2 linked regions of the Caenorhabditis elegans genome follow. The protein of the gene in region 1 interacts with the protein of each later gene in a pairwise test. Each region holds a gene or a part of one and is shown on either strand. Other genes may lie near its edges.

Region 1 (4,470 bases):
AATCGAATTTGAGGTTTGAGGCGACAATTTTCTCACACATAGCTTGAGCAGCCATTCGGAGCACACGAGGAGAGCTCATTATTCTGCGAAGATCTATGTAGATTGGAGTCATCTGGCCAGATTTGAGGTAGAACTCCCCAGTGCGAAAACATTCCATTTGATAGAGATTCTCGAAAAAATCAGTTTCCTGGATTGGTGAAGCGGCCTGGACTTTCATGACGACTGGATCCTCGATTGAGTGATTTCCGTTGGCGGTAGCGGTGGCGGCGGTCATTCTGAATTTTTAACAATTTTCGAATATCAATGTGAAACAGGTTATTTTCTTTCAATAGAAAAGTGAACAAATATCACTTGGTCAGATGAACCAGGTACGTGATTTGAAGGAAGAAAAATAAATAAATAAAAATGTGATATTCATGAAACAAAACAAATCAATTCAACTTTAAGAAAACAAAAATCACTCTATAAATCCTAAAACTGTACAGAAGAATCGAGAAAACAGACAACGCAAAGTACGAAAAGATAGCCTCGTTTGATAACACTATCATAAGGAGGTGTGGCCAAAAGTGCATTGTCGGCGATCTTCGACCCGTAAATTTAAGTCGATTACGAATTTCATGTCTAGGGCCTTGGCGGAGCAATTGGGTAACTCTTCGGGATACTCTTCCACTCCTTTTCAGTACGTTTGTAGATCATCTGTCGCGTGAAATGACCCATCTTTTGATTTTCTCTCAAATCCTTGACTGCTTGACGTTCGGCAGGAGATTTGAGGATTTCTTCCAGATTGCATTCAACCTTTGGAGCCGGCAGTGTGTCCACTTGAATTAGATCGACTTGAACCTGAAAAAATATGGTTCAGATTTTTGTAATGACCAAAAAGTGACAAATTAATTTAGAAAAAGAACAAAACAACATTCGAAATGAATCTAAACAAAGAAAACTTTTAAACAATAAGACCCGATCATACATCAACATCAGATAATATATAATGAAATTTAACTAACTCACCGTGTCCAGGTCATGTGTCAAAATAGACTTTGTTTTCTGTCTAGCTTCCCGAGACATGTGCGCCTTGAAGAGGAAGAAACTGCAAAGAACAAACAATTTTTTTAAGATATATAGTTTTTAAATATTACTTTGAAGCGTAGACGGGCTCATTTGTCTGTTTGGCCAGCCGTTTATACGGTAAATCTCGATGACCCAGTGACTCAACCTTTTCAATTACTGCTCCGTGATCCAGCAAAGTGTTTCCAGCACGCGTTAAAGCTTTAACAAGATCTGCCTGAAATAAAGAATATTCTCATGATTATACACATTCTCACGCTTCATCGTGTTTTTTCTGTACCTTTGACAGAGATCGTGTGATCATGCTCACTTCATAAAACGGCATTGTTGTTCTCGCCCAGTATGAATGCTTTTTCTTCACTGAAAATATTTTCTATGCTACGAATTTGGAAATATGTCAATGAAAATCACGATAAGAAATCACAGCACAAGCTATTTTTCCAAAATAGGAAGTTGCCATTTTTCAACGACAGGCTGTGAACACAAGATTATTAAACAAAAATTTACTAGAACAATAAAATAAATGTTCAATTTTCAATTTTTCGCATTAGAAAGTTAATTTTCCGTCATTGCAATCGAAAAAAGTTAATTTTAAAGTAAAGAACCAGGAAAAATAAAGTGGAAATACGGGATGGGTCTCACCACGGCCAGTGTCGATTTACGGGGAAATTGCATGCGCCTTTAAACGATGATATTTCTTTTTTGAACGGGAAGCGGGAAATTGTCGTTTTTAAGCATTATTTATTTATTTCTTTTCATTTTTTCATTCAAATTATATTCTAGATACGTTTATGGCAGGTTTTTCCGCAATGATTAAGCGTTTCTCACTGTTATGTCGATTATTAACGTGTTAAACTGTTATGTGTTGATTTTTTATTGTGATAAATTTATTTTCGTTTTTTAGAAGAATGGCTCCAACTAACAAAGACGGAGATGTGGCGACTGTCAAAGCTGTAGATGTTCTCAAACAAAAGGCTGGAGCCCATCATTGCCTTGGAAATGTTCATGCAAACCTTCCCGTTAATAAGGTTAGCATACCTGAGCGAGAAAATTCGATTTTAAATAAACACAATTATTTAAGGTGACCGTCCATCCATTGGTTCTTCTGAGTGTTGTTGATCATTTCAATCGTGTCAGCAAAACTCAAAGCGTGAAGCGTGTTGTTGGAGTCCTTTTGGGGTCCATGAAAAAGGACAAAACTCTGGATATTGGAAACAGTTTTGCTGGTATTTTTAAAAATTTATTTGCTTACTTATAAAGTAATTTTCAGTTCCGTTTGATGAAGATGACAAGGATAAAAGTACATGGTTCCTCGACATGGACTATTTGGAGAGCATGTATGGAATGTTCTACAAGGTTGGTGAATTTTGAAATCTCGTTTTTATTTAATTTTAAACAAAAAAAATGAATTTACAGGTTGCCGCCAAGGAAAAAATCGTCGGATGGTATCATACGGGTCCAAAACTTCACAAGGTATATAAGAGGCAAAAAAGAGACGGGGACAACGCGCGTAGTGGTCTAGTGGCTAGCAGGCACACACTCTGCGCCTCCAGCCATTGGTTCGATTTCTCATTCCACTCGGGTTTGTGATGACTGCATACGGATCACTGGGCTCTGAATCTCTATGAACCGATAATATCCGTTCTGATACCCGTTTTTACGGTTTCATGATCGATGGAGCGCGAACTTGTTTAAATTTGAAATTATACTGTGCAAATAACAACAAAGCAAAAAAAAAAAAACTTAAAACAAATCAAATCAAAACTTTTGAAAAAAATCGAAAAAAATGCAGTGGATACCTGACAAAAAAAAAAGAAAAAACCGTGTCACAGTGTTGCGAAATTACGCTCCGCCTTACTTTCTGTGCCACCCTGATTTTTGCAAAATTACGGTGTTCAACTTCAACAGTTTAATTAATTATTTATTTATTAATTTTACAGAACGATATTGCTATCAACGAGCAATTGAAACGATTCTGCCCGAACCCGGTTCTTGTAATTATCGATGCTGAGCCAAAGAACATCGGATTGCCAACAGAGGCTTACATCGAAGTTCAGGAAGTTCACGATGTACGTTTCAAAATACTGTTTAATTTTTTTTCAATATATTGTTTTGTAGGATGGAACTCCACCAATCAAAACCTTCGAGCATGTGCCTTCAGATATCGGAGCCGAAGAAGCTGAGGAAGTTGGAGTCGAGCATCTTTTGAGAGATATCAAGGACCAAACTGCTGGAACTCTTTCACAGCGTATCACCGATCAACTTATGGGCTTGAGAGGACTGCAATCACAGCTTGAATCCATTGAGAAGTATCTTCATGATATTGTGCGCGGAACTCTTCCAGTCAACCATCATGTCATTTACTATGTTCAAGAAGTTCTCAATCTCCTGCCTGACGTCACTCATCCAGACTACATTGTTTCACAGAATGTGCAAACTAATGATCAGCTCATGTGTGTGTATATGGGATCTCTTGTACGATCGGTGGTCGCTTTGCACAACTTAATTGATAACAAGGTGATTTGCAAAGATTTTAAAATTTATTAAAAGCTATGATTTTTAGATCTCTCTCCAGAAGGCTGAAAAGGAGCAGGAAACTGGCGAAGCTGAGAAAAAGAAGGATGAAAAGGATAAGAAAGACAAAAAGGATGAAAAGAAGGATGAGAAAAAGGAAAAGGACAGTAAATCATCAACCCCTAATACTCCAAAGAAGTGATAAACAAACTCAGAACATTGATTGTATCCTCATGTCCACTTCTCCACCAATCTCTTTTTCTTTTACCCTATCGCATCATATACATTTAATTTATTCGGTCTTTTATTTTTCTGTGCATCAATGTAGTATTTTATCCCCGGTATTTAGATCAGTTGCCAATAATTTTTCAGAAGACAAAATCTAATAACTTTATTAGAAAAAATAACAAAGATAACATCCCCGTAAAGCAATGGTAAATATCACGAAGAAAGGCATGGCTTATTAAATTAGGAGTATCCAATGTGGATTTAAAGATCTTTTTGCTGATGCTTGATGTAAATGCCTTCGGCAACTTTCCATGCACTTCCACCAGTGATCGAGTCGGTGCCGACGACCTCCCGTTGTCCATGAATGGGGCGTCCGAATTGTTGTCCCGAGAGTGAGAGGTATGAACCAGTGACAGCGTGGCGAAGTTTGAATTGCTAAAGTGAACAATATAGGGTATTCAAAACGTATAGATAATATCGAAAAGGAATGTAACAAACCTCGGATTCCAACCACTCATCTCCGTTGCAAATCACAGTCCAATCATCTCCCGTGTCACTTTCTGCTTCGCTGCCAAAAGCGGAGACCTCCTTTAAAAAATCAAATTATTCATTTGTTTTCTCGAATTGCCAAACAAACCTGATGTTGTTTGGAGAGAGGTGCAG
Region 2 (3,851 bases), on another chromosome or scaffold:
AATCAGCATCCCAGCTGCGAATCCGCCAAGAATCCACCGGTATTCGGAGACAAATGAATCGGAAATGTTGATAACTTTCTTGCCGGATACTCTGAAAAATTGAATAATATACGATTTTCGTTTTATTCTATTTTTTTTTCGTAAAATTCAAGCTTACTTGTTCATGACGGACTTGTGTAGATTTTTCATGTCTCGTTCGATTTTTGATTCGTTCAGCGTGATGTATCCTTTGTGAATAGCGAATTGAGCCAACAGGAAAGAGATTCCCACTGTGGCAGCAACAAGACGTCCTCCCTGAAAATATTTAAAAATTAAATATTTCTCTAGAACCACCAATTTTAAATACCTTGGTGACAAAATATCCAGTCACTGTCCCGAATCCAGCACCAACACCCAGCTGGACCATCGGCTGCTGCTTTTTCAGATCAACAACGTAGTAGAGGACTGTATCGATGGCATCACTCACACCTTTTCCGGCTTTTCCACTGCCTCCGTCGTTTTTTGAAAGATCAACCATGGCTGGAACAATCACAGTACTACATTACTCGAAGACGAAGAGAACCCGAATGTTAAGTATTGAAAAGTACTAGTGAACTATTGACACGGTGTTAGTCACATCTGACATCGAGAAAATTCAATATATTCACAGTCGATTAATTTATGAATTCAAATAAATACACACAGAAAGAAGACTGAACGATCTTGAAATTGTAGAATACACGTAGCAGTGTAATTATAAAAATAGAGGATTCCGGGATTGGGATGGGGGAGCATGGAGAAAATAAATTAAAGAAATGAGATGATTTAATTTTGAGTGAGAATCTCGCGTGCCTCTTTGCTGACGATTCCTTCCATGGAGTTGACATCGTTCCTCCATGCGGAAATGCGAGTCGCCATTTGCATTATCTGAAAAAAAGAAAATAAGTATTTTAAAAACTTATAATCAATTCTTATACCTGAGGATTATCTAAAACTCTTGGCTGCACCCATGTCACGTAGACAACTTGCTCAACTTGATTGATATCTCCACGAATGAGATCCTTGCTCAACGCCTTCATCACCAAGAACTCAACTTCGTCGAATGGGATCTGGCACTTCGTGGCGATTTCTTTGAATGAAACGCTTCTGGCTTTGGTTGGACGAGAGACTGCAAGTTCCATGACAGCCATCAGACGGATTTTGGCAGTCAGGAAATCCTTTTGCTTCTTCAAATCGTCCCAGCCTCCCCAATCTCCTTCGAGCGAGAAGAAGCGCGTCAAATCTCCCGAATTGAAGGCAAGAAGCACGTCCACGATCCAGCGTTCACGAGTTCCTTCGAGCGATTTGAGGATGGGGTGAGCAAGCTGAAAAAACCGTTTATTGGGGGAATTTAAATTGAGAGTTTCAACAAACCAATTCTCCGAAGTTGTGCACGTTTTCTCCCAGAAGAGCAGCGAAACCGAGAAGAACCGCATGGACTTGCTTCTGTTCTGTTGTCAGATTATTGGCGTCCTCAACTCCAAGATAACGAAGAGCTTCGCGATAATATCCAGCGAAGTCTCCAACTTCACGAAGATATAAAGATGAGACGCGGTAGAACGGGGCATGAACTTCTGTAACTCCGACAAGTGAGTCCACTTCGTGTTGTGTCGAATCGATTTGAGTTCGAATGCTCTTCAGATCAATAATCTGTCCATTTTTGTCCTTGTTCTCCAGTCTGGCTTCAATCTCTCCGGTATGAAGTCGAGCAACGGCAATCTTGTCCTTGTTGATGACGTTTCCAATTTTTGACAGGAATTCCATAGATTTTTGCTTGTCCTTTGTCGCGATATTTTGGGCGATCGAAATGCAAATCTCGACGAGCTGAAGAGGGTTGACACGCAGCTCCCACTCCGCCACGAACAGTCTGTAGAATTCGTGCATGTCCGTTGAAGCCACAAATTGTGGCTTCTTCACAAGGGATCGTGTCAGAACCGTTAGTTGATGCCAGAGCCTGAAAATTAGTGAAATAGTTTGTGTCTACAAAAACAATTGATTCTTACTTTTTCTCCCAGAGCTCCTTGAGATTCTTCCAGTCATCGGCCAGAGGTCCATTGGCAGCCGCCAGCTTTCCGTTGAGGTAGTCTTGAGCAGTCATCCTGAGAAATTCTCGATACATTAAAAATTGAGACGAGAAATGAGTGAAGAAGAAAGAAAATGAAGGAGTAGGAGCAATCAAAACAAAAATGGATTTCGAATAGCTAAAATGAACATTTTTGGCGAGCGCGCTCTCACAAAAATCAAAACAAAAAACTTTTTTTGAATTTTATTTGTCAGCAATTAAAGGCGCATGGCCTTTCACTTTGGAAATATCGAGACGCGAAAGACAATGTTTTCGGTCACGGCCATATGTCTGCGTCTACAGTCTCTTCAACATATGCGATAGGGCGCGCTTGCAACAATTTATTTTTCTTAATTTATTTTATTGTTTTTTAACAGAAGATATTGTTTTTAAAGTGCGAACACCCTTCTCGATTTATCCGCCAGCTGGCAACACAGCTTTTCAGGTTTTCCTTCCAGATTTGTGTGTTTTCTTCTTGGTTTATAGCGAAATCTGATAAAAATCGCAACTCTGAATAAAAATTATGTCAAACAAAGGCGTTGCTGTAAAATTGTGTCCATCCAATAGATTTTCCTCGCTTATTCTCGTATTATCTTTTTTCTTGATTTGCAAAAAAATGATCCAAGTATTTCGAAATTTCTGAAAATTCCGTGTTGTTACACGTCACATATCCTATCATTCGTTTTCTTCATTATCATCTTTTCTCCCTTTCACTGCAACGCTTCAAAATTAATCTCTGGTGCTTCGTTCTTATCTTCCGGTACTATTTCAATGTTCATACTACTTTCTATTGATTACTCGTTCAAAATTCCTAATTGTTAGTTTCTTTTTTCAGATGATCTCTCGATTTACAACGAGTTTCCTTTTATGGATGCTTCTGGTGTTCACAGTGGTATTCTTCGAAACTTCTGGTAAGTTTTTCTTTTGATTATTTGTTTCAATAATACAAATGAATTTCAGCGGCCTCTGACAAAGTTCTTCTTCGCGATGTATCAGCAATTACTCTACACAAAGGAAAAATGACGACAGGACGACGAGTTTCTCCAACCTTCCAGTTGAAGTGTGTCGGTGGATCCGCGAAAGGTGCCTTCACCCCAAAGGTGGTTCAGTGTGCAAATCAAGGTTTTGATGGTTCGGATGTGCAGTGGAGATGTGATGCAGATTTGCCACATGATATGGAATTCGGATCCGTTAGTTTTTTAAATATTTCCATCTCGCTTCAAAAAATGTTTCTTGTTTCAGATCAGTGTTTCATGTGAAGGATACGATTACGCAGAGGATCCATACATCCTGAGAGGATCTTGCGGGTTGGAGTATGAGCTCGAGTACAATTCTGCGAGCGGTAACAGATCAGTTTCTCGAAAGTCATCCCAGGATCGATGGGATCAGTTCGCCACGTTCGTCGTCGTCGCCTTCATCGCCTACATTATCTACGCGATGTGGACTAACAGAAATCAGAACCCAGAAAGCTCTGGCTACACTTCTGGTGGATCAGGAGGTCCTGGAGGCCCAGGATCCGGCGGAGGAGGTGGTGGTCCAGGTGGTTATCCAAGTGCTCCTCCACCATATGACGACTACTCCAAGCCACCGCCATATGGGTTCCGTGGTGACTCGCAATCTGGAGGTGGATGGTAAGGAATTTTAAATAAAAATGACCTTATTTTCATTAAAATTAAGTTTTTCAGTCAGGGAAGTTCTAGCGGAGGAGCAAGTGGCAGTGGCGCCAACAATGGTGGATCGTTTTGGACTGGAGCAAGTCTAGGAGCCATTG

Evidence for each region.
Region 2: the proteins of rpn-8 (region 1) and rpn-9 interact in a two-hybrid assay, tested with the Caenorhabditis elegans proteins (3 studies listed by BioGRID).

Annotation. Positions count from the first base shown.
Region 1 is NC_003279.8:4,173,350-4,177,819, forward strand, and holds rpn-8 (26S proteasome non-ATPase regulatory subunit 7), read left to right. Parts: upstream 1-1,969; 5' UTR 1,970-1,973; coding exon 1,974-2,093; intron 2,094-2,146; coding exon 2,147-2,291; intron 2,292-2,335; coding exon 2,336-2,421; intron 2,422-2,481; coding exon 2,482-2,538; intron 2,539-2,647; exon of another isoform or gene 2,648-2,715; intron 2,716-3,005; coding exon 3,006-3,134; intron 3,135-3,183; coding exon 3,184-3,582; intron 3,583-3,628; coding exon 3,629-3,781; 3' UTR 3,782-3,922; downstream 3,923-4,470. Other genes in the region: R12E2.11 (Orotate phosphoribosyltransferase), read right to left, coding at 1-274; mrps-6 (Small ribosomal subunit protein bS6m), read right to left, coding at 622-840, 1,009-1,087, 1,137-1,282, 1,346-1,390; R12E2.13 (MIR domain-containing protein), read right to left, coding at 4,069-4,242, 4,306-4,395, 4,445-4,470.
Region 2 is NC_003280.10:11,236,803-11,240,653, forward strand, and holds rpn-9 (26S proteasome non-ATPase regulatory subunit 13), read right to left. Parts: upstream 2,118-3,851; 5' UTR 2,117-2,117; coding exon 2,022-2,116; intron 1,973-2,021; coding exon 1,393-1,972; intron 1,344-1,392; coding exon 957-1,343; intron 907-956; coding exon 805-906; 3' UTR 645-804; downstream 1-644. Other genes in the region: FUN14 domain-containing protein fndc-1, read right to left, coding at 1-91, 158-294, 347-517; T06D8.9 (Store-operated calcium entry-associated regulatory factor), read left to right, coding at 2,916-2,991, 3,041-3,270, 3,323-3,711, 3,766-3,851.